4 linked regions of the Arabidopsis thaliana genome follow. The protein of the gene in region 1 interacts with the protein of each later gene in a pairwise test. Each region holds a gene or a part of one and is shown in the gene's direction. Other genes may lie near its edges. The genes, in order: CIA2, GATA19, bZIP7 and PRE1.

Region 1 (9,427 bases):
ATACGACTCACAACAGGGGAGCCACATAGTTTTATCTCTGTAGTCACATATTTTTATCTCTTTAGTCACAGAGTTTTATCTATTTAGTTTTATCTCTCCTTAATGTCCTTGACGTAGCAGTATCCGGGTATAAAGTACATCAATCACACATGCTGCAACGATTGAAATTATTAATGTACTTTTATCCAACAAAACTTTTACGGGAAAATGGTAAAGAATTAGTAAAGAAATGGAAGAGAGGTCACATGTTGACATAAGAATAACATAAGAACAAAACTTACTTTGGAGCAGTGCCATAACAAGGTTTATCCTGTTTTTTCTTGAGGTTCAAATTCCCTCCAGCACAACTTCTTTAGATAAGAAAAATTCTCTACATTTCAAAGTTCTACGAAGATTTTTTTTTGTCTACCGACTTTTCTTGCAAGTTCCTTTTTAATTTAATTTATTTGGGTTTATTTCGTTTTAAGTATATGTAATCACAATGTTTTAATACAATTTCAATTTTGATATAGACGGATGACTCGTGGGTATCATATCTCATATAATGGAATATCTAACATAAAATAAACAAACATATCTAAATAGAAAATCAGATATCTAACCAGGAGTCATTGAACCTAATGAGGTAAACGTAGGTTTAGCTTTCGCCACAAATTACTTCAAATGATCCCAAAAAGGTTCCAATCATTTTTTCTCTCTCACATACACAAATCCACTAGCCCACCACTTTTCTCTTTCCACACTTTTGTTTTTAAACTAAATTAATTATTATTTAATAACTATATTGTAAATACGACAATTTTGTAAGCTTGCTTCTACTAATATAGCCAATTAGCTATAGATATTATATTACGGCCGTTACTTTTCTAATGTTTCTTTTGCAGAAACGTTTGAAAGTTTAACATAAAACTAACCTTGAAAAAGTAAGTCAATGAAAGAAATAAATTTTCAATTATCATGTCTATATATATATCCAAAAAATTATCTAAAATATAGATAAGAAAGTATCAATTTATGCTAATATTTTTTTCCCAAATATGCTAAATTAGTAAATTTGAAAAAAAAAAAAAATCTTACTAATAAAGGGAAATTAGTAAAATAATAAAGTCGGTTTTTTAAGAACACGTGAAAACGTCTCCGACCAGGCGACCATAATCAGTTAATTGAGAAAGCACCACGTCATCAAAGAAATCTAGTAGAGCCAATGGGTATGTGCCACGTCAATGGATAAGGTGACCTTTCCTCGTTTTCTCTTTAAGATCCCAAAAAGATTTTGCAGATTTGGATGATGATGATGTGGTTTTTACATCTTTTTAGAAAATAATCCAAAAACAGAATCACATTTCCCTCCAGTCAAAAAGGATCATTAATGACTATTACTCACTAAACAACCTGGATTAAACTCTTGAGCATCTTTTCTTGGTTAAACTTTATTCAAGAAGAACAGAAATCGGATATCACAACCAAATCAATAAATTAAAACTGAGAAATCTTATTAAAACTATTACTATTATCAAAAATATATATCAAATTTTAAATAAAATCTTCTACAAAACCTGTAAAAAAATATAACTTCGAATTCTATTTAAAATCTAGATATCATAAACTAAAATATAAACCAATATATGGCTTCACTTCTAGCTACAATTAATCAGGGTCGGCTCAAAATAATAAAGGACCCAGAGCTGAAAAAAAAATTAGTTCTCATTTCCTATGTTTTGTTATGTAAATCTTTTTTTTGGATCGTAATTGTATTAGATTTACTTCAAAAAAAAGAGAAATTTTGGGTTGACTCTGTGCCTCGCTCCTCCGGCACATGTGTAGAGCCGGACCTGCAATTAATAGAAACAAAAATTAAACTAATATATGGTGACTCTAAATTGAAACTAAAACTAATAGTGGATAAATTTGTTTAACTCTATACTAGTTTAAAGAGCTGAAATTAAATATTGTGAATGGTAGAACTCGATTTTTGGTATCAACTAAGAAGAAAAATCCTCAACCTCAACTAATATAATACTGCCACAGGCTGGATTAGACAATTGATCGGCGCTACATCATTACTTACCACTTAATCGATGATGTGATTAATATTTTTCAATCATGAGTAATTTCGATAAATCACACTCAAAATATTTATCCCCCTTTCAAATTAATGACTGATCGCTGTTATATTACTTACTCACCACAAGATCGATATGCAAAATAATATCTTAAATTTTTGGGTAAAAATTATTGTGTAACAAGTGGATAATATCAATAAATCAATACATAAAAGATTTACTCAATTTGAATTAATGACTTACTGTCGTTATATTAATGTAATACATAAAAATTTAACTTTAAGAATGAACGATCGTCGCTACATTACATTATTACCAAATCGTCACAAAATTAATATTTTATATTTTGAGTAAATGTTAATGAACAAATAAATTTGTTAAATCAACACATAACAAATTTAATTCAATCGTATTATGACCGATCGTTGCCACAATCATATCGCTTTATTATAGGTTTAACAATTGATTTTTCATTATTTTGTTTTCAATCTCCAAATCATTTCTCAATAACTCTCAAACATTGTTTAAAGCTTTTTTTCTTAATTAACATTATAACAAAAAAATAAATAGAGAAATTTACTTTGATTCAAACACCAGTCATTGTAGATTAGCCAAGAGTTTTCAGTAACAAAATTTACCTTATAAACCTTTTGAATGGCTATTTCTGAAATGGAATAGAAATCTTTAGTCGTGGAAGTATCTCTATCCATAAGAAAACTCGTTTTACAAAGTAATTTTAAATCAATACAAAAAGTGAAAAAATCCACTGGTGGACCCCATTCATTCCAGAATTGCCGATTACGAGCTATCTTGTCCCTTCTTCACCATTCGCTCACTCTCTCTCTCTCTCTCTCGTCTTCTTCTTCCCACCACTCTCTCTGTTTCTCCACAACTTCTCTTCTCAAAGTTAAAATTACCCCTAAACCAAAAAAAAAAAAAACGCTCTTCACTATTTATTTACTAAACTCTCCTTTGTTTGTTACTAAGCTCTCACTAAAACCCTAATCTTTCTCCTCTTATATATCTCGTGACTCTTCTTTCTCCTCCAATCTCTCTCTCCCTCTTCACAAACCAATTAGCTTCTTTCTGTAAAACCTCACTCGTTGGCCAATTCTTTTGGTTTTCATACACATAAATCTCAGATTCCAAATGGGTTTTCTTAGCTCTTTCTTTCAAATGATGAACATTTGTTAGCAGAATCTTCCTCTTTCCCTAAAGTTTTGATCTTTTTTTCCCCCTTCAATTTTGTATTTTCTCACCAAATAAAAAAAGGTTTCTTCAGTGGGTTTTAAGGGTTTATTATTATCTTAAAATTAAACACAATTCTTTAATCAAAAGGCAAAAATCTTAATTTCATCACTCTCTTCTCACTCACAAAAGTTCTTACAATCTTCAAAGTTTTGGTCTTGTTTCTTTTCCGATTTCACCGGACAAAAAAAATGTCGGCGTGTTTAAGCAGCGGAGGAGGAGGAGCAGCAGCATATAGTTTCGAGTTAGAAAAAGTGAAATCACCACCACCATCATCCTCAACAACAACAACAAGAGCTACTTCACCATCATCAACAATCTCCGAATCATCAAATTCACCACTCGCAATCTCAACGAGAAAGCCAAGAACACAACGCAAAAGACCAAACCAGACTTACAACGAAGCAGCTACTCTTCTCTCTACTGCTTATCCCAACATCTTCTCCTCAAACTTGTCCTCTAAGCAAAAAACTCACTCTTCATCAAACTCTCACTTCTACGGGCCATTGCTTAGTGACAACGACGACGCTTCTGATTTGCTTCTTCCTTATGAATCAATCGAAGAACCTGATTTTCTGTTTCATCCAACGATTCAAACGAAAACAGAGTTTTTCTCAGACCAGAAGGAAGTTAACTCCGGTGGAGATTGCTACGGTGGTGAAATCGAAAAGTTTGATTTCTCCGACGAATTCGATGCTGAATCGATTCTCGATGAGGATATTGAAGAAGGAATCGATAGTATAATGGGGACTGTGGTGGAATCGAATTCAAATTCGGGGATTTATGAATCTAGGGTTCCGGGAATGATCAATCGCGGTGGAAGAAGTTCTTCTAATCGGATTGGTAAACTAGAACAGATGATGATGATCAATTCATGGAATCGAAGCTCTAACGGATTCAATTTCCCGTTAGGGCTTGGATTACGAAGTGCTCTCAGAGAAAACGACGACACAAAATTGTGGAAGATTCATACCGTTGATTTCGAACAGATCTCGCCGCGAATTCAAACTGTCAAAACCGAAACTGCAATCTCCACCGTTGATGAGGAGAAATCCGACGGTAAGAAGGTGGTAATCTCTGGAGAGAAGAGTAATAAGAAGAAGAAGAAGAAGAAAATGACGGTGACGACGACATTGATTACGGAATCGAAAAGCTTGGAAGATACGGAGGAGACGAGTTTGAAGAGAACAGGTCCGTTGTTGAAGCTTGATTACGACGGCGTTTTGGAAGCTTGGTCTGATAAAACGTCGCCGTTTCCCGACGAGATTCAGGGATCGGAAGCTGTCGATGTCAATGTATGTTTAACACTAATCTCTTCTTAATCTCAAATCCCTCGCCGTTAAAATTCGATATTTTCTATGTTTATTTTTCTTTAGTTAATGGTTAGTTTGAAATAATTAATTATTCGGGATTCTGTTTTGGCCATTAGTATTCTGCCACGTGGCTGTTGAGGAGTGTGTTCTCATTAATGCTGAATTAGTAATTTATTAGCTATGATATAGTTTGAAGTATCTGACAAGAATTTATTAAATTTTGTGGAAAGTTCTTATTAATAATTTTTCCTGTAACGTATTTTGAAGAATAATTATTAACCCTTTGACTTTGGTACATAGTCTTCTTTTTATTATAAATAACATTTTTTTCTGTGATGACTTTCAATCAATTAAGAAAAAAAAAAGCTGCTTTTTATTTGTCCAATGAAAACTTTATAGACTGTGCACGTGAATTTTCACGTATAGGATAAATGAGGAGGTTCAAAATTTATTTTGTAGATATCCGTTTCGTCGAATACTCCTTTTAGCATAAAGTCTAGTAGTCTACAAAATAAGTTAACTAGAAATTCATTTTTGTCAATTGATTAGTATTTTGTGTTATTAATAATGTTGAACATGAACTAATGTGGCGTGTGTGTTTTGGGGCAGGCTAGATTAGCTCAGATTGATTTGTTCGGAGACAGTGGAATGCGAGAAGCAAGTGTTTTGAGGTACAAAGAGAAACGTCGAACTCGTCTTTTTTCGAAGAAAATTCGATACCAAGTTCGCAAACTCAATGCTGATCAACGTCCTCGAATGAAGGTATCTAACCCATCTTAGTCAGTGGTTAAAAACATGTAGGTTTTTTTTACCATCCTTCAAAATTTGTTTTGAATCAGCATAATAAGACTAGCTTTAGTTTTCAGATTTAAAGTAGATGAGAAAACTCTTGTTGAGTTTTTCTATTCGTTTTTTTTCTTCAAGAAGATGAAATAAGCTTTCTTTTGGGTATCTTTATTCCAAATGAACCAAACCGAACAAGTAAAGGAAACTACGTACCACAAGCCAAACAAAAAGATTTAAAACCAAACCAAAGGTTAAATATATTAAGAATTGTCATCTAAAGGAAACAAAACTAACTAATAACGTTAGATTGAGGTCAAGGGCTAGGGATATATACATTAGATTTGATTAAGACAAGAACCTAATATTAATGTTTTCTTTTCTTTTTGTGGTTGGTGATGGGATGTGGGAACAGGGACGATTCGTGAGAAGGCCCAATGAGAGCACTCCAAGTGGACAAAGATAACAAGGATAAAAGAGCCTAGATTTATCTTATCTTTTTTTTTTTATCTTTTGTTTATTCCTTGTTTTATTTTTGTTTCTAAAATTTTGGCACCCTCCTTTTTTGTTTCTTTTAAGTTATGGTCCCTTTTGGTTTATAATTTAGATTTTTTGATGAGGGGGAGATTTGATTGAGAAAGTGAGGGATCAAAACTAATAAAAGTTTTTGTTATTAATAGAAGAAACAGAGCTCTTGAGATTTTAATGACTCAAGAAGCAAGTCAGAGACTTGGCTCAACAACAACAGTAGCAAAAAACAAGACATGGATTATTCACCAATCCCAATGGCTCAAACTATGTTGCAGCCTTGTACACCTGTTGTTTCGTTGCCCATTGCTTCTTTGAGTCATCAAAACCGGTGACAAATCATTGATACCTCTCAATATCTGTTTTTGCCGAGCCAAATTTCCTTTCCCAATAAAAACATTATAGAGAAAAAGCATATTGAATTAAGGGCAAAAATAGCTTCTAGGACGTGTTATATGATTTTTGAATGGTAGCTTCTTCTAGATACCATTTTATCTTTGACCAAGAATCGAGTGTTATTTTACAAGGCTTGACGGAATGGCAAAAACAGAACTCTCTGCACAAGGAATGTGTTGAGCTCATTACTTGTATACATGATACAAGAGATATCGTTTGGTTTATATACAGAGTTATTATGCACGAAACAAGAGGAAAATCAAATCAAACCAAATTGGTCTCTGGTAATCAGTTCAGTGGCAAAGATTTTCAGATCAATGTAGACCTAGCAAATGTCCTTGTGGAGACACCTAATTGCATTCCAACACTCACTAATGTCTCTAAAGACCTACCACTGTTAACCAAGAGATCATTATCGATCCCGATCGCGTCCTGCATAATTCAAATGGAAGGTTCATATTGAAAGAAAACAACAGTGAAGATATCATTTTAAAAGCATAAAACTGTTCTTAAGATTTTAAGATTAAGATATAATAAGTCACTAACCTTTTCAAAGACACATATAACTGTGCTTCCACCAAACGAAAAATAACCAAGCTGCAAGATAAATTGAAGTTAGGAAATATTCTCTTGAAGTGTTTCTTATGAAAAGTTGAAACTGCTTACTTCATCTCCTTTCTTCACATGCTCTCCTTCCTTTCTAACAAAATTTATGCTACCAACCATTGTTGCACCGATTGCAACAAAAGCAACCTGTTACATACTTATTAGCTAACCTTGAATTTATACAGTACACACTATTATTCTGATCCATTTGTAAACTGGATTCAGCATCTAACCTTTCCAAATTCTGCTGTTGATATAATTGCAACGGTTCGTTTATTTTCCGTGAATACATTACAGTACTTGCTATTGACCGCAATTGGATTAACCTATTCAACAAGGAAACAAAAGTGAGTCTCATGAGAAAACATGAGGGAGATGAGAGGAAATCTTGGACTAAAGTAAATGCAGAGGAGATGCATAACTACATACTGTATATAAGCTTCCAGAAACATCCACAAACTGTTCAATGACTCCAGAGACAGGGACATGAAACCGATGATAATCCTGTAACATCCAAGAAATATGTCAGAGTAACTAAAGAACAAACAACAACTGTGTAATTCAATAGGAGAAATCCAGTCTCGTCGCACCTGTGGTGCTAGTCTGAATATAACCAAAGATCCATCAAGGAAGGCATTTGGATTCACATTCTTCCCAAGGAGGCCTCTTATTGAAAACTTTTTGCCCTATCATTGCAGAATCAATGCAAAAAAATAAGGATGTGTTGCATTATATCAGCTACATCATTTGTTTTGAGAATTCTCTAATCTTGAATAATATTGATTAAGTATATAGTAAGCTACTCTAGAAACCATTTTACCTTGATCCAGAATCTGGTACTATCTTCCACCGACTGAAATGCCATTAATCGACAATCAGCGGCACATACAGCAACATCATTGCGGTTCATGCAAGCAATTGGTCTTGCACCAGGTTTCAACTCTCGGATAAAGAACTCATTGAACGTCTGCAAGTAAAAACAAAATCATCATTCTTGAAAATGCTATAAATCATATTGTGAAACTTAGTACTATACACATTTAGATTTAATGTTGACGCTATAAAACAGATCCCATGCATACCTTAAAATGCTGCAGAGGATACTTGACTTCAGCCATGTTTATTTGATCCTGAAACAGACAAAACATCTCAACTCCAAACCCAACAGCAAAGCAAAACATCATAGCTTAGTTAATAGTAACTTTACATGCCTTAAAGAACTCGAGAAAGCGTGGTATTTTTTGTGCGGATTCAACTGAGCTCATTTTCTTCCCCTGCTTCTCAGAAAGTCTCTGCAGAATCTCCTTTGCCCCTAAATCAAGAAAATCAATAAAGCATACAAAAGTGTGTTCTTTTGTTAGGTAAGGGTCTTATAGTTTGTTTACCTTGATCCATAAGTCTTAGTCCAATTTTTGACTGGTAAATAGCTCTCATGGACAGAACAATCTTTGAATCAATCAACTCTTCCACAAGTCTTTTACTCTTCCGGTCAATTACCTATAGCAAGAAGCAAAACACCAAGAAACTAGTAAAGTGAATACATTTGTTCTCCATGAGGAGACGCACATAAGACACCAACTAAAGAGAGCAAAAAGAACAGAATACCACAATATATGAAGCACTTGAACCAGTATTCAAACCAACGTCATAAGTTGATAAGTGTGTCCATTCACTTAGTTTGAACATCCATCTGAACAAAAGGTTGAAAAATATGATGTTAAGTAAGAGATGTCTAGTTATTTAGCTTAAAAGAAGAGGTTTCTCACCCATAAGAAGCTTGTCTATCAGTCAAAAACCCTCCGGTCATCACTTGATTACCCGTTCCTTCGTCAAAACAAAGAGTCATATGAATCATCGCGTTGAGCTTGTCAGAGACCTGAAGAGCCTCACCACACACCGGACAATTGTTTATAATTGGCTCTCTGCATTAGAGAATTCGAATTACTAGGATTCTAGGAGGTCTAAATAGACTTGTTATGAAAATAAGAATGAAGTATATTTGAAAACATGAAGTGATCCAAAGGTCATTACTGTTCTTGTTGAAGAGCAAGAAGCGCAGCTAACTCGTCAATCGTCACAACACCGTCCCCATTCAGGTCAGCAGCTTTAAACAACTCCTCTTTCTGGTAAATAAGTGAGTAACATCATTCTGACACTGATTGAAAATGAGAGAAAAACTCATGCATCCACTAATGACATAGATGCTTAAAGCCGAACCTTGTTCGCAGCCACTAAGTTTCCAAAAGCCTTTATTAGATCAGAGAACTCCGAAAACGAGAGTTGTCCATCTTCATTGTAGTCCTGCACATTGTCAAAGAACTCTTAACTATCAAATTGTTTGTTTGTTCAAGAATAGCAAGAAACATTGAAGTGTGTCATACAGAGAACAGAATACATAAGAGTGGAACATTAAGGTAAAGCATACCACTATGGACAAGATACGCTTTGCAAACCGCCTCTCAGTTTCAACAGGATCCTACAAATATTAAG
Region 2 (7,537 bases), on another chromosome or scaffold:
TGAGGAAACCACACTTATGGGAAGCATTTTCAGTGAGTTTACGTTACATATTGCTGGCAGTAACAATTTGGATGATGTTACAGGTACAAATCTATCTTTCAGAAGTGCTTGACTTGTATGCTGCAAAGAGTGCGCAGCAGAAATGGGATGAGAAGGATCATCCTCCTGAAAGGAAAAAACTATTGTCTGCGTTAGAGAGCATCTCCGGATATAGTCCGCAGCCTTTGTTGAAGCGTCTTCCACGTGATGCTCTCTATGAAGAGCGTGCAGTTATATTGGGCAAAATGAACCAACATGAGCTTGCTTTGTCCATCTATGTTCATAAGGTACCCATCAACATGAGCTTGCTTTGTCGATCTTTAACATGAACCAAATATCATTAATTTATTTCACCAAATAATCTTCTAATTGTTGGCCAGTTGTGGTAAAAAACACTTTGATATGCAAATGCATTGTTAGATAATTGTATCATTGTGTAGATAAGTATACTCTGAAACTATTTAGAACTCAGATATCGGTGGATTCTATGGAGTGTTGTTGCTTATGGCTTAACTCTTTGTTTTTTTCTTTCTGATAGCTTCATGCACCTGATCTGGCGCTGGCTTACTGTGATCGTATATATGAGTCTGTTACTTATCTACCATCTGGAAAACCGTCAAGCAATATCTACCTCACAGTGCTGCAAATATACCTGAATCCTAAGAAAAGCGCAAAAGACTTTGCAAAACGAATTGTAGCTCTAGGATCATTCGAAAGTTCAGACACCACAAAAATGATGGACTCTGTTTTATCTTCAAAAGCTAAAGGAGGCCGATCCAAGAAAATTGTTGCAATAGAAGGCGCTGAGGATATGCGAGTTGGTCTCAGTAGCAGCACTGACAGTGGAAGAAGCGATGTTGATACTGAAGAACCCTTGGAAGAAGGAGACTCCACCGTTATGATCTCTGAAGTTCTTGATCTGTTGAGCCAAAGGTGGGAGAGGATCAACGGTGCACAAGCCCTCAAGCTTTTGCCTAGAGAAACTAAACTCCATGTAAATGTTTTGAATCTGACTTATACTTATCCCATAACTACTTACTAGCATTTTATTGAAGCTCACCTATTCTATTATCCAATTCCTACAGAACCTGCTTCCGTTTCTTGCACCCCTTCTAAGAAATTCAAGTGAAGCTCACAGAAACTTTTCAGTCATCAAGAGTTTGAGGCAGAGTGAAAACTTACAGGTATGTTTGTGTTTCTGGAACTATTGACACCTAGCATTAAAAGAAACCCGTATGTGAAATTGATGATGTGAAACGAATAGGTGAAAGAGGAACTATACAAACATAGGAAAGGAGTAGCGCAAGTAACAAGCGAAAGCATGTGCTCATTGTGCAACAAGAAGATAGGGACAAGCGTATTTGCTGTTTATCCCAACGGGAAAACGTTAGTTCACTTTGTATGCTTCAGAGATTCTCAAGGCATGAAAGCTGTTTCTAAGACAACACATGGAAGAAGACGATGAGGTAATCATCAATTACTGTAACAAAGAGAGGTTTAAGACACTAAACCATCTTTTCTTTTTTACAAAACTCCCAAAGTGCAATTAAAGAAAAAGCTCCTTTCGTGTTGTTTGTCTGTTTATAGAGAGAGATTTGGAGCTACTTTTTTGGTGTTTTCTTCTGTGGTTTTTTGTGTTTGGTTCAAAATGATGGTCTTGACTCTTGACAAAACCAGTTTGGCTCTTGTTGTAAAATCTGTTAGTTTATATAAAGACTTTTCATTTTTGTGTAATTGGGACTTGTCGAAGAAAATAACGAATGTTAGTGCGAAATCTAACAACATTCAACCAAATGAAGGTGATATGATGGGCCAAGAAACGTGGGCTGGATTAGGCGTTATCAGGCTTCAACAGCTCAGTTAGATTATAATAAGATTAGAAGTCACGTGAGTGAAGAGACATGACATGTAATGTGAAATTACGAAGTCGAACACTTTGCGTCTTGGGGTAATCGTTAGGGTTAGGTTTCGTGTTCTACGAAGCAAAGAGCATAAGAGACAGAGAGGCATCTTTTGGGAAAGCGGTGGTCGCCGTATCTCAATTGAACCAAAAATTAACCAATCTCAAGACCGATCCGATTCTCTTTGTTCCCTCTCTCTCTGGGTCTCTTGGTGTTCTTTTAATCTTTTTTACTCTTTCCCGTTTCACGCATTTTGTCCACTCGTGTTTGGCGGCACACGACATCCTCCAACAAGATTATTGAATTGATATTCTTAAAACTCATCAATTTGATTGTTTTCCTTTTGTTGAACGAGTGAGGTTTATAGAAAACACAGTTGATATTTCATGTTTGTAATAAAATGAAATGAATGTTGGTAAATAAGATAATGAAACTCAAATAATAGTATATATAAACATAAAACGTACAATTTATTTATTCTTAATATTTTTTTTTTTAGTTGAGAGCTTATAAAATTAGTATAAAAACGTTACACATTTTGACGTACCCCATTACGATAATTGATCCAAAAATGGGTCGGCCGATCAAATTTAAAATTATTTGATACAAAACCTTACTTTGAAAGCAAAAAAAACATAGATCTGTTCTTGGAGATAACGTAACTTCGTTATTTGATCCAAAATTAGATAAAAAGAGAAAGAAGATAAAGGATAAAGAAATAAGAGCTTAGAGCTACAGAGTGTACTCATTTGATGGGTTCATTCTCTTTGTACCCTTTTTCTTTTAAATTTTAAATTTTGGTTGGAGTTTGCTTCTTTGACTAAATCAATAGAAACATAGAATAACTCTCACCAAGCTAAAGAAAGAACACAATGTAATTGCTTTAAAATCATTGCAAAGTATCTCACTTTGTCTTTATTCCTTTTTAGTTCACTTATAACTTGAACATTGGCTAGTTTTGTTCTTTTAACTCCTTAAAAGCACCGATCTTGGCGATTACGATCTCTCATGCTTGACCACAATCGTAACAACAATATTCAATCACATACAAAACAAATTTTTTGATTAAGGTTAAAAACAACATAATTATACGTCATATACAACATTTTATTTGTATTATTACGACTGTCGTTAGAGAGCCACTGAAATTGTAGTGCGGTGAACATTAACAGTGTCGCACACTATTTGAATTTAGAACATAAAATGGATTCATGCATATATGAGAGTATGACACGTCGAATTGGTGAAGCGAGCGATGACGTGTGGAAGAAGAGATTCGGAAAGAGAAGGAGCGTTTAATTTCGAGATGATCGTGATCAGAGAGAGACCAGATCCTTGGAAGACCGTGACATTGCCAGTCACGTGCCTCTTTTTTGACTACCTTCCTCTCTGCTGCTTTAACTGCAGATGTACTTATCATTTATTTTCTTACTTTACCATTTAAATAATATATCAAAACACTGTAGTTTGCTTAGCATTGTTAAACAAGACTACTCACTTGGTACTTGGTCGTGGAATATTATACGGTATGCAATGAATTTGCATAATAATCTAGATTCGGAGCAGTATCATTAATTAATTTTGTTAGGTTAAAACGTTTTGTTATTAAAAATCGCTTAGAACTGAACAAAAACCAACACATATTTAGAATATTCATTGCAACATCTTTGTAGACAAACTAAAGGAGCAAATTCACATGTAAATCTAAAGAACAAAAGAATAAAGCATAGATTAATCATACACACATAATAAGACCGGGACCAAATTTTCCTCTTTTGCCAAGTTCCCAAATTCTCTATAAATACTTCTTGTCTCCATTTCACAACAGCAACGTGGACTCTTTCTTTGTTTTGGCTGACTCTTCTTTCACCGTTTCCTTAGAGAACTTATTCATCTCATAAACACCACACACAACACACACTTCTCTTTCTCCTTCTCTCTATATATTTTAATATCAACTTTCTAGGGTTTCCAAGTTCATATATAGTGATGGGTTTCTCAATGTTCTTCTCCCCCGAAAACGACGTCAGCCATCATTCCTCTCCATATGCTTCTGTTGACTGCACTCTCTCACTTGGAACTCCCTCCACTCGCCTCTGCAACGAGGATGATGAACGTAGATTCTCGTCTCATACCTCCGACACCATAGGCTGGGACTTCTTGAACGGTTCCAAGAAAGGCGGTGGAGGCGGCGGACATAACCTCCTCGCTCGCCGTTGCGCCAACTGCGACACCACTTCTACTCCTCTTTGGAGAAACGGTCCAAGAGGTCCCAAGGTATTTAATATGTAACCTTTACATCAAATATTTTATCATTTCTTGATGTGGGACTAATATTTCTCTCTGTACAACAAAACAAATATTGATAATAACTTTATATGATTTTTAATTTGGTCAGTCGTTGTGTAATGCGTGTGGAATCCGATTCAAGAAAGAAGAGAGACGTGCATCGACCGCCAGAAACTCGACCTCCGGCGGAGGATCAACTGCAGCTGGAGTTCCAACTTTGGATCATCAAGCAAGTGCAAATTATTATTATAACAATAATAACCAATATGCTTCATCGTCGCCTTGGCACCATCAGCATAATACGCAGAGAGTTCCATATTACTCGCCGGCCAATAACGAATACTCATACGTTGATGATGTCAGAGTTGTTGATCATGACGTCACAACCGACCCGTTCTTGTCTTGGAGGCTTAACGTCGCCGACCGGACCGGCCTTGTCCACGATTTTACGATGTGATGAGTGATCATTTCATAGATATTCCCCTTATAAGTCTTAGCCTTGGATACCTTTTAACAAAAAAGAAAAGTCTTAGCCTTCGTTAAATTCTTTATTTTACTTTCCTTTAAATATAAATATTTAATGTCTTTTTTTGGTCTCTGTGTAAGTGTTTTTCTTAAATTTATAATTCGTATGATGGATGCTACTTGTGTTTTCCTTGCATGACTTTTAAAATGTTCTCTCGGGTAATGAACTAATAATTCGTGACTTTATAACCTTTACATGATGTGTGTCCTACTTTGACCACGATTCAGTGATATACTATACATATACAGAATACATATTCATTCCTTTAATTTCTTTTTAAAGCATCTTTGGGTTTTTGTACGGAGAATGTGAATATTTTGGGATGCAGATACTATCTTCACAAATACTTATATCTTAAACGTTTAATTTGTGAGTTTCTTTTCCAAATTGAAATAATCAAATACTTGGACCGAATTTGAAAATTAAGCCAACAAATATCTGCAGGGTGGCCAAGCTGAATGTTTGTCGTGTTTTGCCCAAATTGTCTTGGAAATTTGACCATCAATTAGGTCTTCGTGTGCTGCTCTGCTTAAAACTGTTGCTGCCAACTGCATGTGAAGAATATTTATCTTTTTCATAACGTGTTTAGTTATTGTATTAAAAAAACGTTAGTTTTTATTTGATTGTTTCCGGAAACACAATCCAAGATAATAAAGTGTTTTGAAACTCTATAACAACAGAAAGCGAGAGTAACAATTTTTTTTTGAGTCATTTATGAGAGTCAAGACGAAAAAAGAGTCACTAAACTACTAAATTTGTCTTCCAATTAGAATAATAATGAAATGTTTTTCTATTTTTTCACGAATAAAATTAAATGTCTTCAGAATTTCTACTTTCCACTTTCAACCGCTCCTGACCGGGAATGAGCATATAAGTTGCGATTTTATTTGGGCCTAAGCCCATTCGATATAAATTCCATTCAAAGTCAAATGAAATTCCAAATTGAAACGATTTTTTAAAAATTGGAATATAGACCACCGCCAGATTCTATACCTATAAAACTCTATTTTACCAAGACCTACATATACATCATACAAATATACATTACTTATCCGCTACGCAAGAAGAAACTGTAACATACGGATTTAAGTAGGATGTTTAGGTCATCCACCGGGTATCTCCCCAACTGTAATTAGATCCAACAAACGCTATCTTGTCATCATTCATTGAAAAGCTAATTAAGTCATTTTCTCAAAATCATGCATAATGACAAACAAACAAAAAAAATTACCAAAGCAACTATCAAATGGTGGTAATCTAGTGATTTCGGTCTATTTAATATCATAAATGGAATTTTGAAGGGATTTGACTGTACTATGACACTTTTAGTTTCTAGAATTGTTGTGTTCTTGTACTGGTTAAGAGGCTAATTAAAAAAAAAACAGAAAAGCATAGATTAACAACCCAACACCTAACATTTTAACAAATTCCAAATCCAAGTGCCAATTCTCCAAGTTACATTTGAAAAGATCGAATGGAAAAAATGTTTATATAATGTTGCATCCCATTTGGGCTTCTCTTCAAACATCTCTCAACAACAACAACAAAACAAAACTTGCACAATGGTGAACTTTGTTGAGGTACAAAAACCATTGTTGTACGGTCTGATGAAAATGGCTGGCGTCGTTCCTTACACTTTAGAGATCGAACCAGGGACGAAGATCAACTTTTGGGTCCCTAAGGAAACCCTAAAGAAGAATTCCGGTACCGGAAAACCAACGAAACCCGATAAACCTAAAAAGCCTGTCGTCTTGTTAATCCATGGTTTCGCTGGCGAAGGAATCGTGACGTGGCAGTTCCAAGTCGGTGCATTATCCAAGAAATACTCGGTCTACATACCGGACCTCCTCTTTTTCGGTGGATCCTACACCGACAACTCGGACCGGTCTCCGGCGTTTCAAGCCGACTGTTTGGTCAAGGGGCTTCGTATCCTCGGCGTGGATAAGTTTGTTCCCGTAGGGTTTAGCTACGGGGGCATGGTGGCTTTCAAGATCGCTGAAGCTTACCCGGACATGGTTAGAGCAATCGTTGTGTCTGGTTCGATTCCCACAATGACCGATACCATTAATGAGGCGAGCTTGAACCGGTTAGGGTTTAGTTCTTCCACGGATCTCTTGTTACCGACTTCTGTTACGGGACTTAAGGCTCTCTTCACCATTGCTGTGCATAAACCCTTGTGGTTCCCTAAACGATTGTTCAAAGACTACATCGAGGTGATTATTACTACTCAAAGTTAATTTATTTATTTTCTTTTCCTTTAGTGAAAATAACAATTCCGTAGCAAATGATTACATTTTGGAGTAAGAAAGCATGTTAGTTTTTCTTTCTTTTTTTTTATTTTTCCACAAATTCACATTATTAGTATATTTTACTGTCGCAAGGACATATTCATATGGATCACGTTTCCAAGAAAGAGTGATTGTGTGAGTTAGGTGGGACTTGCGAAGTATACTTACCTCTATTCGATCAACTGAAAATGAATTGGAACTTTAAAATTAAAATTCCAATTTGTTGCCTAAAAATTAAAATTATATACAATAGAAGTAAGTAACGAAAAATAGATTCTAGATAAATCTACATTTCTGGTAGGTTAGCTATTAAAAATATTTTATTTTGTCAAAGGTTAGCTTAATTTGTTCAACTACTCTCAACTACATCTCGTATTTATTTTCTAGGTAACATATGTTTTTTTCGTCACTATACTTGTCTACCAATGATTGATTTAACTAGAGTTTCTATTATACTATATTCTAAGAGTTTTTCGTTGAATAAATGTGAACGT
Region 3 (7,887 bases), on another chromosome or scaffold:
CAATGCAATTCAAGCATGATGGTGGTACAGTCGGAAATAAAAAACTTGAAAGTTGAAACATACATTACTTTAACCCGATTTAATTAGTAGGTCGACACGCAGAAAAACAATTTATGAATTGGTTATCAGTAATTTGATGTCACTAATTAGTACAATTATCGCAATAGTTGCAGGCCCCAACCACTATAATGTTAATATCACGAGAAACCAATCGATTTTTAAAGTTGCAAAGCAAAGAAGTTCGAAACTCGTTAACTAAACCCACCCTTACGTAAACATTTGACCATATTCTAATATGCATGTACATATACGATGCATACATATATATTTGGAGCTATAAGGAGAACCCTAATGGCTAATGACGTACCAAATGACGCCACACGATAAATCTCAACGAACACTCCACCACAAACATATAGATTACAAAAAGATACATTTAAAAAGCCATAATTAGTGGATTGCTAACGTTACTTACTTACTTTACATCCATTTACTCATATATATATACACCACACACACAAAAATATGTGTTAACACGAACGATGCAAGGCGACAAAAATATAAAAGTAATTTAGGAAAAATATATCGCTAATTTGTTGAACTGTAGAAGCGTAGAGTTAATTTTCTGGATCTGTTGAGTACATCCGACGGCCAAAACTTAATCGACACGAAAGTTTAGGTCGAGGACCCGAGCAATGTTAGCATTTAGTCGCCATTGTTCTTAGTCTTATACTCTTATTAATGACTTAATAATATCAATTATTGATCGTCAGACTTATATCTATTTAATATACTAATAAAAAATTAGTTTTATATATATATATATATATATATAGAAAAGTATTAACGATTTCTCCAGTATGCGACTACCTGGAGACTAAATTATCTTAAACAACATTCTATAGTATTTGTATCCGTAAAGTTTTTTTTTTTTAAATCAGTACTCAATAACATCAAATATTTGCAACTCATTTTCATAGAAACGACAGACTTTTTCAAAGAAAATTCAAATAGCAAGAGTGTTGCATGTGGACATCCATTGCCAAAGAAACGACACGTTTAAGTTTTTCCATGACAAAAATAATAGACTCATTTAGGGTTTTCCCAATTTACAAATTTTGTCGTTATATGGCCTGTATTCTTTTTATAGTGATTAAAAAACTTTACATGCGTCATATTTAGAATTTCTTCAAACTTTTTATTAAAGTTTCCTCCTCGACTTTAGTTTAAGATTTTTAAATTTAATATGACCTAAACGGGGCTAAACTAGCCATAGGCTAAGTAATTAGCATAAATATAAGAAAAGCATACACACCAAGTTGACTATAATCTTACAAATAAGTATTTGAAGTTTTAACAAATTTTTAAGAATATTTGTTCAGATATGATCTACTGGAATTCCGTTACATTTCAATGATAGTTTTTGTGGTTAACTTTTTTTAAAGAATTAAATCTTTTTAAAAAAAAAAATTGTTTTTTTCAGAGTTTATATAGTAAAATTTATAAATATAGGTATAAAATCAAAATTTATTGGATTTTCCGTAAGTTTAATTGTATGTATGAATCATCAATAGTACAAGATCCATAATATATACCTATACGCATCAAAATTGGTATATGTTTCCTCAAGCAAAGGGAAGTTCGTTAATTAGCATAAGGGTAAAGAATAATGTCTTCTACATGATTCGCATGACTATTACTTGAGTTATATAAAGATTCTATGTACGTATGTCTTCAGATATGTAAAGGAAGAATTAATGTAATTCTAAAATGTTCTAAAAAATTGATGCGGGTTTTAATTTAGTGGTTTGTATGTACGAATGTTGCTACCCTGTTCGCTGTCCGGATTCCAATATGATAAATATGCGTGTGAGTACAAACGAAAAAAAGACTATTATAGAACATTAAATCTTTAAATTATTGAGTTATTTACGTGTTAAGGCTCAATGAATATTCGAACTAAAGTTGTGACATCAATTTACAAGTAAATGTGGGCTTTCCGTCTTATAAACTTTTTTCATTTCCCATGACATGTGTATTGAACTCCTTTAATACAATAATGAGGTGAAAACTTTTTAAGATAAAGATTTTTGTAACTCCACTAGGGAAAAATCATTGTATCAAACTTTAAAAAATTTCGAAATACAAATGTTAAAATAGACCACTTAGCATGAAATGTTCGTATACGTATATAGATCGAGCTTTAAGAACTTTGTACTAATTAGGATCAAACTATAAAATATTTTGCTAATATATCAAACTGTATATGATTATCTCAACAGAACCTTGTTGTAACTTGCTATAAGCCATGTTGAAAGCTGGTTCACCAGCCGGGCACAAGCTTAGCTCCTGGCTCATCGACCGATCTGCGATACGACTTTTTCAGTGGTTAACAATAGTAATAGGTCCCTCCACTCGACCTTTTTTAATGTATATAAAAAGCTAAGATGTGAGCTTTTTTTTCTGGACATTTAAAGTTGAGTTCACATGAGACCGAACCAAAACATGAATCTGGCTATAATAAAGCGACGTGTATATGTAATATATATAAGTCTTTGTCCTCTCCACTTTATTCTATATGAAATGCATGTGGCCGTTGCTCCACATTTTTTGTTTCTCATCATAAATAAGCTAAGTAAAGGTATCTAAAAATTAATATAATTATAGTATACTAAATTTAATTTTAATCAGAATTTTGTACTAGGGATTGTGTGATTTAGAAGTCTAGGCGCATTTTTCATCCTTATTAATTATCTTTCCTTAGATTGGTAAATTATTAAGCGAAAAAGCTATGTAATGCCGTATATATATTTATACAATCAATTATGATTGATGCAGCATTTTAACCAAAGAGAAAACAATTCAACATTAAGATAAAAATTAATTTATTTTCTATATTTCCATTAATTTTCTGTTGTATATTTAAACATTATTTACGAAACAATATATTTTGATTCAAGATTTAACAATTAAATTATTGAATTTTTCACATTATATTTCTAATGAAGAAACTAATCTAAAAATACTCTACATTTGATGTATCCTTGCAATCGAAATATTCAATGTTTCCGTGTAGCAAGCAAGTATATATACTTAACTTTTTGGTCATAGGTTAACTTATAGGGTTCTTTACAAAAAGCATTGGTCTCATCTCTCATGCAAAGCACCAGTTTGGTTCAGTTAATTGAAAAGTATGTTCCTTAGATTCTCTGATTGAAACGATGATTCTAGTCCCTCTCCAGTGTGTGTCCATCCCGTGTTAAAAGAAATTGACAAAACTAAAATAAAGAAAGATTGCCATTCTCTTTAAAAAAAGATTGTCTTTCTCTTTAAGAAAGATTATTAAACAGTGAACATAAAGAACCACAAATTACTCTATTCTGACTGTAAATATCATAATTAACCAGCATATGTTCACATACAATTTTTGTTTTATCTAATCACTAACTAAAATGATAAGTTTATTGAAGATAATATGGAATTGATAATTTTTTGTTTTTTTTGTTGAATCTTCTAACAAGAATGAGAGAAAACTATATGAAGTATTCAATTCCAATATGAAAAGTTAAACTTTTTCTAGGAGTGTAAAGAAATATCTCATTCTTGAATTTCTTAAAACGTGTGAAATATGGACTGTTTTCTTCATCACTAAGCTATTACTGGTTACATAATTTTCAAATTTGTTAATTTATTTTTGTTATATGGACCCAAAACAAGCTATTGGTGCCCTACACAATATTTCCTGCTTTTACAAAAGTTGGCTCTGCCAAATAAAAATTTTCAAGTTTTTAACCCCACCATAGTGCAACATGACTCAAAAGCTGTTTATACAGTATAGTCTACGGTCTTACATCGTATTTTGGAAATATGACCAAATTACCCCTTGGTTTGTCCATAAATATCAAGCTCCAACAATGCAATTCTTCCCTTTTCCCCTTCTAATTTCTCTCATCTCTCTATTAGAAAAATTATTAGCAATTATGTTGTCCACTGCACCGGCCTTTTCATTCTCCGAACCGGGTTTGGTTAATCAATTCTCGGGTTTCCAAACCGGGTTCACTCCTTGGGAATGGGATTGCTCTGATCTCTTTTTCGTGGACCAAATGTCTCTTGAACCGGCCATCCCTAGTCCTTGTTATGGTGAATCCGACACTGGTTCCGTCAAAATTAATTCCGGTTCTCATGACATGAAAACCGGTTCTGACGAATCTTGTGCCGGTTTCGTCAAAATTAATCCTCGTTGTGACGACGCCGACATATCAAACGATCTACCGTGCTCTCAAGCAGATGAACCGGACTCGGACGACACAAAACAATTGACAGCCATCACAAATTTCGGTTCGGGAGAGAATAACCATAACCGGAAAAAAATGATCCAACCGGAGATGACCGACGAGCGGAAGAGGAAGAGGATGGAGTCAAACCGGGAATCAGCGAAACGGTCAAGAATGCGTAAACAAAGTCACATTGATAACTTACGAGAGCAAGTAAACCGGTTGGATTTAGAAAACCGTGAGCTCGGGAACCGACTCCGGTTAGTTTTACACCAGCTTCAACGAGTGAATTCCGACAATAACCGGCTCGTGACAGAACAAGAGATACTCCGGCTAAGATTGTCGGAGATGCGTCGGATTCTGATCATTAGACAACTTCAACAACAGCAACAATGGGAACTACATAACCGGAGAATGATCATGACTGAACAAAACCACCCTCATCTTCAATGATAGATCAAAATATTTAAGAAGAAAAAATATCGAAAAACTTAGAACAATAACCAAAAAAAAAAAGCAAAGCAAAAAAGAAACTCTCGCTATGTCTCTCTATCTCTCTATGTAAATGAAATGAAGGTTAGGAAGAGAAAATGATAGTTTTCTAATTTTCCTTTCCACTTTCTCGTTTTCTATATGTTGTGACTCCACTACACTAGAGAAGAAGGAAAACAAAACAGATTTTTATTTTGGTTTTCTTTTTCCCACTCTCGTGTATGAGATAAATAACTTAAAGAGTTATTAAATTAATACAACGATTTACATTATTACTTAGTGGAAACTGGAAAGGCTTTATGCGCATTGACATCATGCTACAACGCCCATAATTGTTGAAAAGATACACTGTATTTTAAAGTACTAAACCAAGCCTAATAAACCGGTTGCCACGATCCCAAATACTGTAATATCACTACATAATATATCTTAATCGTTAAAATGCCTATCTCGGCCCAAATAAAGTTTTGGAACATAAAGCCCAACAATAATTTAGGTCCTCAAGTCCATTTTTGTTACGACCCTAAAAGTTTTCCCTTGATGAAAGAGCAAAGATAAACCCTAGTTTGTAACTGAACAATTAGAATAAAGATTGTGATTATATGAAGTGATTATCAAACAAATGATTCAGAAATCGGAAACGAAGAAAGAATCAGAAGAACAACGATTTTCTAATTTCCTCTTTAAGCTTTAGAAAGACGAAACAGAACATAATGAAAGAGAAAAAACAGAGCTTTTCTTTTTTTGTTTCCTGCCGCAGGACTTGGTTTCAGTTTTCAGGTTGTGTAATGAAAGTAATCGCCATTGTGTCTGTTGTTCTCTGCAATGGGGCTGCTCACGGAGCTGTTGTTAGAGAGTGAACAAAATGTGGACTTTTGCAAAACCCCTGTAGGAGAAGATCCAAATGTTGGACTATTCGTTGTACTGTTTAGTACTTCACCTAGAGGACCTCCTAAGGAGTTTCCCCATGAGATTGGTATCCAAGTATTCACCTTTTTCACAGTAGGCTCGATTGTTGTTTCATCGGTTTGGATCGATAGGTCAAGCTCGCGGGATAGCCTGAGAGGCGAGAGTGTTGTTTTTTCTTGAGCATTGTTGTTGTTGTGTGTGGAGGAAGGGGATGATGATGCTATTGGAATTGACATTGAGAGCTGTGTCCAATCTGATGTCAGCTCTTCAGGCCAAGAATTGTGATTGTGATTCCCTGAATGCTTCTCTTGGTTGCTGCTGAAATCCAAGAACGATGATCCATAGGTCTTTGCGGTATTCGGGTTGAGTAACGAATCAGAGGATATGTGTCCAAACTCAAAAGGGTTGTTGTTGTTTCTGTGTTTCTGATGAATAACCGGAGATTCCTTGGGTTGTAAGTTGACGGTGGAAGGATATATCGAAACTCCTCTGTTTTGCAAGAGTCAGTAAGTGAGATATGAACTAACAATGAATATGCAGAGTATTAAAAATCTGTTTTCACCTGTTGTTAGGTAAAGATTCTGTAGAAGGATTGATATATTGACTTCCAATGGCGAGGCTGCGGTTGCTTGATGCACGGGCATTGCTTCTGTTAGTATTACCAGCGACAACAGGCTGTTGTGGTGTAGTAACCGCTTTGGATGCAGCAGCGGCGGTTTGGTTTTGGCCAGATTGGACTTCCACAGGCTTTCTTGAACGATGACGGCCTCTGTTGATGTGTCTTTCACAGTATTTCTGATCAGGAACGGCGTCTCTTGAGCACCGCCATTTCTTCCCATCTGTTCTGCGGCATCTCCCTGGCTCAGGGTCCATGTTACCGCCTGCGAAACCGAGATGGAAAGTTCCCCATCCGACTACACAAAACCGAACATAAACACTCATTAACCATTTATAACAAAATTCCCTATGAAAAATCCTAAAAGCAACCATTGTTGTAAAGACTTTTCAACCAACAAGACAAATCTTGAAAACCCTATGAGCAATGTTATGAAGGATTTAGCACCAAAATGACATAAAAGACTAGATAAAATCTGATTCTTGGATTAAGCAACCACACCACAAATGAGTTGATCAAAACCCCAAAACTTTCACAAACAAGTGATCGCTCAATGGAAAGTTATGTGCAACTAGAAATTGTGTTAAAGAGATGGAGCTTACAGGAACTAGGAGGCAAAGATCCGTAAGGATAAAAAGACTTCTTGATAGAGATGAGCAAACTAGAAGGAACAGGGACATTGGCTGTGATGTACTTATAGATCAACGCCTGTTGCTCTAACTCAGCCCATTGAGTCAATGTAAAAGGTCCTTTAACACCTGTGAAGTTCCCTTGCATGCTCATGTTCATCATCATTCCACCAGAACCATATCCTCCTGCATTCCACAGCAAAAATGTAAAAAATTTGATTATTTTACACAACCCATTTCACCAAAATCCAATCAATAAAGAGAAGACATTATCAAACCTGAGCTTCTAAAGTAAGAAGGTGGAGGAATCTGGTGAAGAAACGGCGAGAGAGAGTTCTTGTTATTACTGCTATTATCCAAACCGACATATTTACTGAAATCAAGAGCGTCTGGTTTATCTGAGAAGCTAAGCATTTGTTCTTGACGGCGAGAATCAGAGGAAAGAGGAGAAGCAGATCTCATGAGAGGAATGCCTTGGTGAAACGACATCGTTTTGCAATAAGCAGCTGCAACAGAAGAAGACAAGTTTTCTTCTTCTTCCGCTCTAGTTGTCGTTCTTGCTAGCTTCAAGCTTCGTTGCAAGCAATCCTCACCGATGAATCCGGATCTATCTTGTTTAGTTCCTATAAGCTCTTTTAGACCAAGTGACTCATTTTCATTACTAGTAACCGACCCAAGAACATGAACACCAATATCCATAAGAAGTAAGTAATATAAAAAGAAAAAGAAGGAAAAAAAGTTAGATAATGACTTGAGAGATAGTTGCCATGGGAGGAAGATAGCTAAAGATGAGAGAAGAGAGAGACAGAGGGAGAAGAACGAGGCTTACTTTTGATTTTCTTGAAAGAGATATATATTATTATGTGTTTTTAAAATAAAATGAAAATAGTTGTGGTGAAGCTTTGGGAGGAGACAAGAATGGTACCTAAAAACACAATCCGGATCTCGGACATGTTAGAACATATTT
Region 4 (7,614 bases), 7.2 Mb from region 1:
GTTGGTTTTGCCATTTTTTGAATAGTTTGTAGATTTTGTATATTTTAAGACAACAAAAATGTGATTTAAGATGCGTTTTACTCGTTTGGATTTAATCATTTTAATTTATATAAAAGACATATTTTTGCAAAAACAATTCGTAATATGTACACTTAAGTGTTAAAAAATGGCAGAATTCGTAAACTATTCAAAATATTATTGTTAGATTTTTTTTTTAAACGGCATTTTAGACAAGAATCCCTATTTACCTAGAGTCTTCAATTTGAATTTAGAAAATATGGAATTAAATTTAATGTACTTTCTTAATGATACTTACTGTAAATAGATAGAATTACATAGATGTATCAGTATCTTCTTAATTGCCATTGTAGTAACACGGCAAAAGTCTACCGTTTTACGTGTGTGCACACACACTACACAATCTGTCGATGCTTTGTTTGTGATGTGATTATGTGAATATATGATGGCGAAACAATTCTTATCAAGGGACATGTTATCCGTGGAATTTGTTCGACATTTCCAGCGTAATTCGAATACTCATGCTAAATCCAGAGAAACATTTCGCAGTTATAAATATAATTGTTGGACATCTTATGTGTGTTGTATATTTCGACCTGATCAAATATTTATAAATATAATTGAATAATTCAAATCTTTGAACATAGAATCGAAGATGCCGTTTTGACGACTTTTTCAATGTTTTTTTTTAATTGTTATTTTATTCACTGCGAAGATATGATTGGTGCCATTAATGCATATTATCGTACTATAGTGTTTTTGTAATTCATTGGAAAAAAAAAAAATTGCTCAACTTTTCCAAAGTGAGTTTTTATAAATTACTTATTTAACGAGTCCTTCATTTCCACATGATTACTCGTGTTTTTTACAACATGTTTGTAAAGATGTGAATTAATTGCGAAAAAGTAGACACAAAAACATTGTGGAGCCTATGAGACCAAACATTTAGTACCCGAACCCACATGGACTAACATGTAAAATCTCCCTTTGCAATTTATTAGAATGGTCACTTTCTTTAATAATCTTGTATATATAAAACACACACACACACACCAACACACTTTTATATATATTCTTGTATTCACACATATAAGAAAAATTGATAAATGTTTTCTTTAATTATGTGCTTTATTAAAAAATTGTATGAATTAATGTTCTCGTTGAATTTTTGTGGTGGATAGATCATTGACATATATATGGTGTACTTACTATACTGTTGTCATTCTCTTGAATTATAAGTGTGAATTTCATGTCGGATGATATCGGTTAGAGTAATGAAATGTTTGGCTATATAACAAGCACAACGATGGAGAAAATAATTTTCTTATATATTTAGTATATATTGAGCAAAAAGTACTTTTAATAAGTAACGTAACGTAACATTGATTTCGTTAACTATGAATATAATCCGATCCATGTCATGCAAACCTGTCGGAAGAGAACCATTCTCACTTATATTTTCTTGTTGGTGAGAATATATTAAACTGTTATTGAATTACTAATGAAATAGAATGTTGTGATAAATTAATACACCACACAAACGAAATATTTTGAGGGATAATGAGGGATTTCGAAATTTATATAACCTTTCATAATAATAATAATATGTTCAAACAGATAATTGTATTCGACTGTTACATACTTGTCGGATCTTTATTGATAATGTTATTGGACAACAAGATATCTAAAATTTTGATCTTATGGACCCGAGGGCAGCATGTAACACGAGACATGGTGGTGACACGTGACATAGTCGATGTTTTGTGAACATTTATATAAATTAATACTCAACCAATAATGGACCAATCGAACAATTAAATTAAGTTATATGAGACATGCGATTTTATTCACTTCAAAATAAAAAAATTCTTTAAATAAATTATTTTAGGCAAAGTGTAAGTGTGCGAAGAAGTTTGAAATAAATGGTCTGAACGAAGTTTTAAAGCCGATAGATACGTTTCTTTTAAGCATTTGGTTTCCTTTTCACGTTTTATAAAAGAATTAATTATGGATTTACCATTTTTTGAATGATATTTATGGATTTTGTCATTTTTTAAATAATTTGTGGATTTTGCTCTTTTTCAGTCTAAAAAATGAAATTTAGCATAGCTTTTATTCGTTATATTAAGGTTTAGTCGAGTTTTTTTTTTGTTTTTTAAGTTTAGCATTTAATATAAAATACTTATTTTTGTAAAAATAATATCGTAAATACGTACATTTATAAGTACTAAAATGACAATTTCGTAAAATTTTAGTAAAAATGACTTTTTCAAAAGATTTTGATGAAAACGGCAAAATCAACAATAATCCTTTTATAGAAAATATTTGTTTTATATCTACTATTTTTAAGTTACATTGACATTCTATAATTTTTTAAAAGTTATCACACGAAATATTTTACATATGAGGTGAAACTATTTATGGCTTAGCAGTTAGAAAACAATGTTCCATAGGAGTCAATAATTAGGCTTCTTCCTTTCTAAAACAAATGTAGTTAGTATGGAAGATAGAATTTACATAATTCTCTCTATGCTTTTTTATACAAGTTTGGAACTATATATTTTATACAAGTTTAAAATATATAGTTTGGTAATATACAAGATTTACAGATAAATATACAAACTGTACCTAGATATTGTGGAATACAAATTTAGAGAGACAATTTAGGCGATAATACTAGTTCTAATATTAGAAGAAAAAAAATTGAATGAAAAGTCATGTCATCACATGGTAGTTGCCTTTTTGTGAAATTGCAGATGAAGGGCCACAATGTTAGATGAACATGAAACACTTATCTTGACCTTCATCAACCCCATCTTTGGGAACTTTTCGTTTCCTCCATTTAACTATTCAAATCTCCTCCAATTATTCAAAAAATTTAGTACCCATTTATTTATCCACTCTATAGGAATTATACTGTAAAATTTTCAATAACTAAGCATATGTATATTTGTGATCCATTCTAGTCATAATCATTTTCTTTTTTTTTGGATAGTTGAGGCATAAAAAGTTGGGGTTTTGGTAAAACAAATCCTAAGAGAAATCTATTTTTGTAATTTTACCCTCTACTTCTAAAATATGCAGAATAATCATAAAAAAACAAAAATAATACGCAATATATTCCTTATACATATATTGTAAACGTATTCACGATCACATACATTTTAAAAAATCTAAATTAAAGAAGAGTTGAACTCTTTGTCTCGAGGGCTTCGATTTGATATAATACTTCTCAATTTTTTTAAAACTTGACGAAATCTGACAATAGCAAAAAATGTTATATTGCGTAGTATTTTTCACTTTGTAAAATTATTCTATATTTTCTGAAAGTAGAAATGGACGATTTCAAGACTTATTTTCCACAAAATCCTAAAAAGTTACGAATCTTGAAACTTGTGTATCATTTGAACTATACACAATAACTAACTAACCATGATTGAAAACGTTGTGAAATAATTCAATCCCGCCATTACCTTCGTATAATGATTGGTAATAGTCTCGACTGATGATATGTATATATACGGCTTGGAAATCTGTAATAAAAAATGATTTCGAAGTTTTGTGGTTTAAGGGCATTCAATCTATCGCTTTCTTCTCCCGTGACATCATTGTCGAGGTTTATTGCTGCTCTCCGTCGCTCTCTCTCTCTTGTGGTCCATTGGCCTATTTAAATCTCTCTTATCACATTCTCAATTTCTTTATATTTGAAGTGTATTCAAAACCCCAAAACACTTTTCTCATTCTCTTCTCTATTTTCTTCTTGCTCTCTAGTTTTTCTTTCTTCTTGGTCGTTTCCTTTCAGCATAAAAACCTTATAAAATCATAAAAGCTTACACCTACTTGCCACATAGACATAGCCGATCTCATTATATCTCTATTTCTATTTCTCAATAGAACTTGTTTGAGCTAGTGTGAGAGAAGTAAAGAAAGAGAGAAGAATCCACAACTTAGTTAGGGTCTTTTCTTGCCACATTGTTGAACATGTCGAACAGAAGATCAAGGCAATCTTCAAGTGCTCCAAGGATCTCCGATAATCAAATGATTGACCTCGTATCTAAGCTCCGTCAAATTTTGCCGGAGATTGGTCAACGACGTCGTTCTGATAAGGTATCACGCATAATATATGCATATATTCATTTATAACGACCATTTAACATTATCCATCGTGTAAACCTATCCAAAAAAGGAAAGAACAAAAGTTTTGTAAAAAGAAGAGTGGACACTAAAATCAAACAAGAAAGAAAAAAGAAGTCGGAACTTTTGACTCCGGACATTAAGGAACATATATACCAATATTCACAACCTTTTTCTTCCATATTTACATAAGAGATTACATCAAAATCATCAGCTTGCATGCATCTGCAAACGCATAAAAGCGCATGCATTGGTTCAAAAAACATATATTATAATGATTATGATTTTATTTCGTTTTTGTTGTTGAAGGCATCAGCCTCGAAAGTATTGCAAGAGACATGCAATTACATACGAAATTTGAACAGAGAAGTTGACAATCTGAGCGAGCGTTTGTCTCAGCTTCTCGAATCTGTCGATGAAGATAGCCCTGAAGCCGCCGTTATTAGAAGCCTACTCATGTAATCTTTTTTGTTCTTTTGTTTGTTTTTGACAAGCCTATCCATGTAATCTTAAATGATCGCTCTATAATAATTATATTTTTAACATAATCGTCTTATTATGTAAAATTCAAAGAGATGGGCTTGATCTTTAATGACATACGAATTTCATAGGGTTAATTCCATAGTCAAAAGTCTCCGACATATATGTGTGTAGCAGAACTGCACGAGCATTGCCTTAGCAGGTGCATTATTAAAATAAACCAGTGGGATGAAATTTGGTGGAGAAGAATCTTTCTTTTTTTCTCCCTAACAAAGAAAAAAAAAACAGAGATTGTGATGTCTGAACTCGATTGTGTCAGTCAAGGACAGTAAAATTGCGAGAGGACATTGTTAGTTGCGAGCATTTAATTTTATACGGAATAAAAAAAGTTATTTGGCACATTGTTTTTGAGGTAACAAATCATCTAAACCTCAAAATAGAGATAAAAAGCAAAAATAGAAATAGAAGACAAAATCAAATAAACTCTTAGCCATTTTGGAGGGGAAAAGAAACCCCATCTTAACTGTCACAAAAACGTTTATACACATCTAAAGGAAAGTTTTGCCTTTTAGGACGTCCACACAAAGAAATTAAATAAAAATCAACGTTATAGTTTTATTTGATATCTCATAATTCTACATGCATGTAGTTTAAAGTTTAAACACACGTATACGCATATTGATATACATGCACCCATGTACATACATTTAGACAAGTTTGGTCCTTTCAAGGCGTAGGAGACTGGTCAAATCTATCACTCCTAATTTTAAGCCATATAGCTATACCGGTTTGGTCCTTTCAGGGTTTAGGAGACTGGTCAAATCCGACTCCTAATTTTAAGCCATATAGCTATAAAAATAATCACAAGAAGAATTACATGAAAAAGGAGAGCATTCAGAGACTAGCTTTGTTACACTCTTCCACCTAAAACGATCTTAATTTTTTTTTCTTGTTACATAGATACAATTTTCAGGTCTTGTACCCTTTTTGAATTATTATTGTAAAATTTTGAGATATACTAAATAGAATAATTAAATAGCGGAAACGATTTAAACAATAGAGCAATAACGAAACGACACAATATTTAACAAGGTATCGGTTGGTTCTCTTTCAAACCAACCACTAGTCCTCGGCTGCAACAAAAGTTTATTAGATCACTTCAAGAAGTAAAAGATATACTTAGAATTTCTACAGTAAATTCAAATACATCTGTATCTAAGAACATGAACTAAGGTTAACAAGTAAACTCATTTTACTTCCCTTTAATCATGTATGAATTCTTCTTGGAGAAGTCTTTCCAAGGTGATCTCTCCCCAAACTCCACAGCGACACAAGTTTCACACAAACTTATCAAACACTCTGTTTTCTATTTCTCTGTTTTAACAGCAATCTTTTGTATCTTGAAAATTGGAGATGATGCTTGCAACACGTTGTCCTTATCCACCACAAAAGCAGAGTATATATATGAATATGACTCTTACAGAGAGCATCAAGGAAACAATTTGGATAAAAAGATTGCTATAATAATTGGTTCTTTGCAATCAAAATATGAAGTGAACTGTGACAGTCCAAGAGCTATATATGTTTGTCTAAAAATATGAAACGGGAACATATAGAAGTTGAGCTACACTTCATAAGGGATATGACCAAGATTGGTACTCTCTGGTCAATCCTACTGACATATTGTGTAAGGACAAAGTTGTGTAATGACATCAGAAGCAGGTAAATGAATATTAGATGTAACCGTTTGTCGAGGTGGAGATTTGTTGATTATTTCAACCAAAGACTCAAGAAGCTTAGAGAGTGAAGCTTTGGTTATGGAGGTTTTAGCTAAGTTAGTGTAAACGTCATTAAGTTATGTTTTCTTTATAGTAAAACAGGCTAAAACAATATAAAATACAAATTACAGTACTCTGTTATGTTTTTTTTTTTTTAATCAATTTCCAAGATACTTCCTACACGGGGAAACAACTTTTAGAATCTTTCTCCCATAAATAAAGTTCCTTGCGAAACACGTCGTTGGACTACCGAGGTCCAATGGCCGAATAGGTTACTTCTGCCACAGTCCAAGATTCTTCGTTTCGCTTCTTTCGTGACGAGGAGGAACCAGTCTCAAGTTGACTTTTACGGACTAAATAACCAGGCGGTCCAGGCGGAGCGATCTCTATTGTGTCGCTTGCGAACATGACAGAGATTGATAGCATCGTGGGCCTATCCTCAGCACATTCTTGAACACACAAGAGACCAATCTGTATGTATCTTTTAACTTGGTGTTGTTGAAATGTTGATGAATCAAGGATAATTTGATCTATGATTTCGAGCCCTTTACCTTCCTTCCAATTCCTCCATATCTATTCATCATAAACAAAGCTTTAAGCGTTTATATCAATCACAATAAAAAATATAAAAAAAAGACGAAAATGCTTTGGATGATTATTACACTTACATATGTAATAAGACTTTCGTCGTTCTCCGAGTATCTATAAAAGTCTCTGTTTTTAACCCCAAATATAATCTCAAGAAGCAAGACTCCGAAGCTGAAAACATCTGACTTTGTTGAATAAATCCCTTCCTCCGCGTATTCCGGAGACATATAGCCGCTTTGTCAAGCAACAAGAAACACAATTGTGAGGTTTTGTAAAGTGTTTGCTTTATTTTCAAATGTAACGATGATAGTTTGTTTGCTTACTAAGTTCCGACGATCTTTGTTGTGTTAGCTGCTGTCGCACGCTTGTCGAAGAGTTTACTCATCCCAAAATCTGATATCTTCGGAACCATATCTTGGTCAAGTAAGACGTTGCTCGGTTTTAGGTCTCTATGGACAATAGGACGCCGCGAATCTTGGTGAAGATATAAAAGTCCCCGAGAGATTCCATTAATTATTTGGACCCTCTTCTCCCAGTTTAGCTTAGAGCTTTGGTTTTTGTCTAAGAAAATGTCACAACCAAAATCACATTAGTTTCTTTTCAATAACTCTTAATA

The links.
Region 2: the proteins of CIA2 (region 1) and GATA19 interact in a two-hybrid assay, tested with the Arabidopsis thaliana proteins (one large-scale study listed by BioGRID).
Region 3: the proteins of CIA2 (region 1) and bZIP7 interact in a two-hybrid assay, tested with the Arabidopsis thaliana proteins (one large-scale study listed by BioGRID).
Region 4: the proteins of CIA2 (region 1) and PRE1 interact in a two-hybrid assay, tested with the Arabidopsis thaliana proteins (one large-scale study listed by BioGRID).

Annotation. Positions count from the first base shown.
Region 1 is NC_003076.8:23,164,891-23,174,317, forward strand, and holds CIA2 (chloroplast import apparatus 2), read left to right. Parts: upstream 1-2,883; 5' UTR 2,884-3,502; coding exon 3,503-4,606; coding exon of another isoform or gene 4,607-4,633; exon of another isoform or gene 4,634-5,233; coding exon 5,234-5,386; coding exon of another isoform or gene 5,387-5,404; exon of another isoform or gene 5,405-5,822; coding exon 5,823-5,873; 3' UTR 5,874-6,135; downstream 6,136-9,427. Other genes in the region: PSD2 (phosphatidylserine decarboxylase 2), read right to left, coding at 6,641-6,763, 6,878-6,928, 6,998-7,084, 7,171-7,263, 7,367-7,441, 7,528-7,623, 7,758-7,904, 8,020-8,067 and 7 more. UniProt on the Arabidopsis thaliana protein: Responsible for specific up-regulation of the translocon genes TOC33 and TOC75 in leaves. Involved in the general chloroplast protein import pathway regulation, including protein import and protein translation efficiencies.
Region 2 is NC_003075.7:17,266,055-17,273,591, reverse strand, and holds GATA19 (GATA transcription factor 19), read left to right. Parts: upstream 1-3,592; 5' UTR 3,593-3,929; coding exon 3,930-4,217; intron 4,218-4,338; coding exon 4,339-4,686; 3' UTR 4,687-4,903; downstream 4,904-7,537. Other genes in the region: EMB2754 (Vacuolar sorting protein 39), read left to right, coding at 84-326, 578-1,033, 1,125-1,223, 1,304-1,504; AT4G36610 (alpha/beta-Hydrolases superfamily protein), read left to right, coding at 6,318-6,968. UniProt on the Arabidopsis thaliana protein: Transcriptional regulator that specifically binds 5'-GATA-3' or 5'-GAT-3' motifs within gene promoters.
Region 3 is NC_003075.7:17,719,991-17,727,877, forward strand, and holds bZIP7 (basic leucine-zipper 7), read left to right. Parts: upstream 1-3,648; 5' UTR 3,649-3,809; coding exon 3,810-4,727; 3' UTR 4,728-5,047; downstream 5,048-7,887. Other genes in the region: GRF2 (growth-regulating factor 2), read right to left, coding at 5,543-6,164, 6,238-6,589, 6,894-7,106, 7,199-7,619.
Region 4 is NC_003076.8:15,953,690-15,961,303, forward strand, and holds PRE1 (basic helix-loop-helix (bHLH) DNA-binding family protein), read left to right. Parts: upstream 1-3,678; 5' UTR 3,679-3,999; coding exon 4,000-4,125; intron 4,126-4,461; coding exon 4,462-4,614; 3' UTR 4,615-4,870; downstream 4,871-7,614. UniProt on the Arabidopsis thaliana protein: Atypical and probable non DNA-binding bHLH transcription factor that integrates multiple signaling pathways to regulate cell elongation and plant development.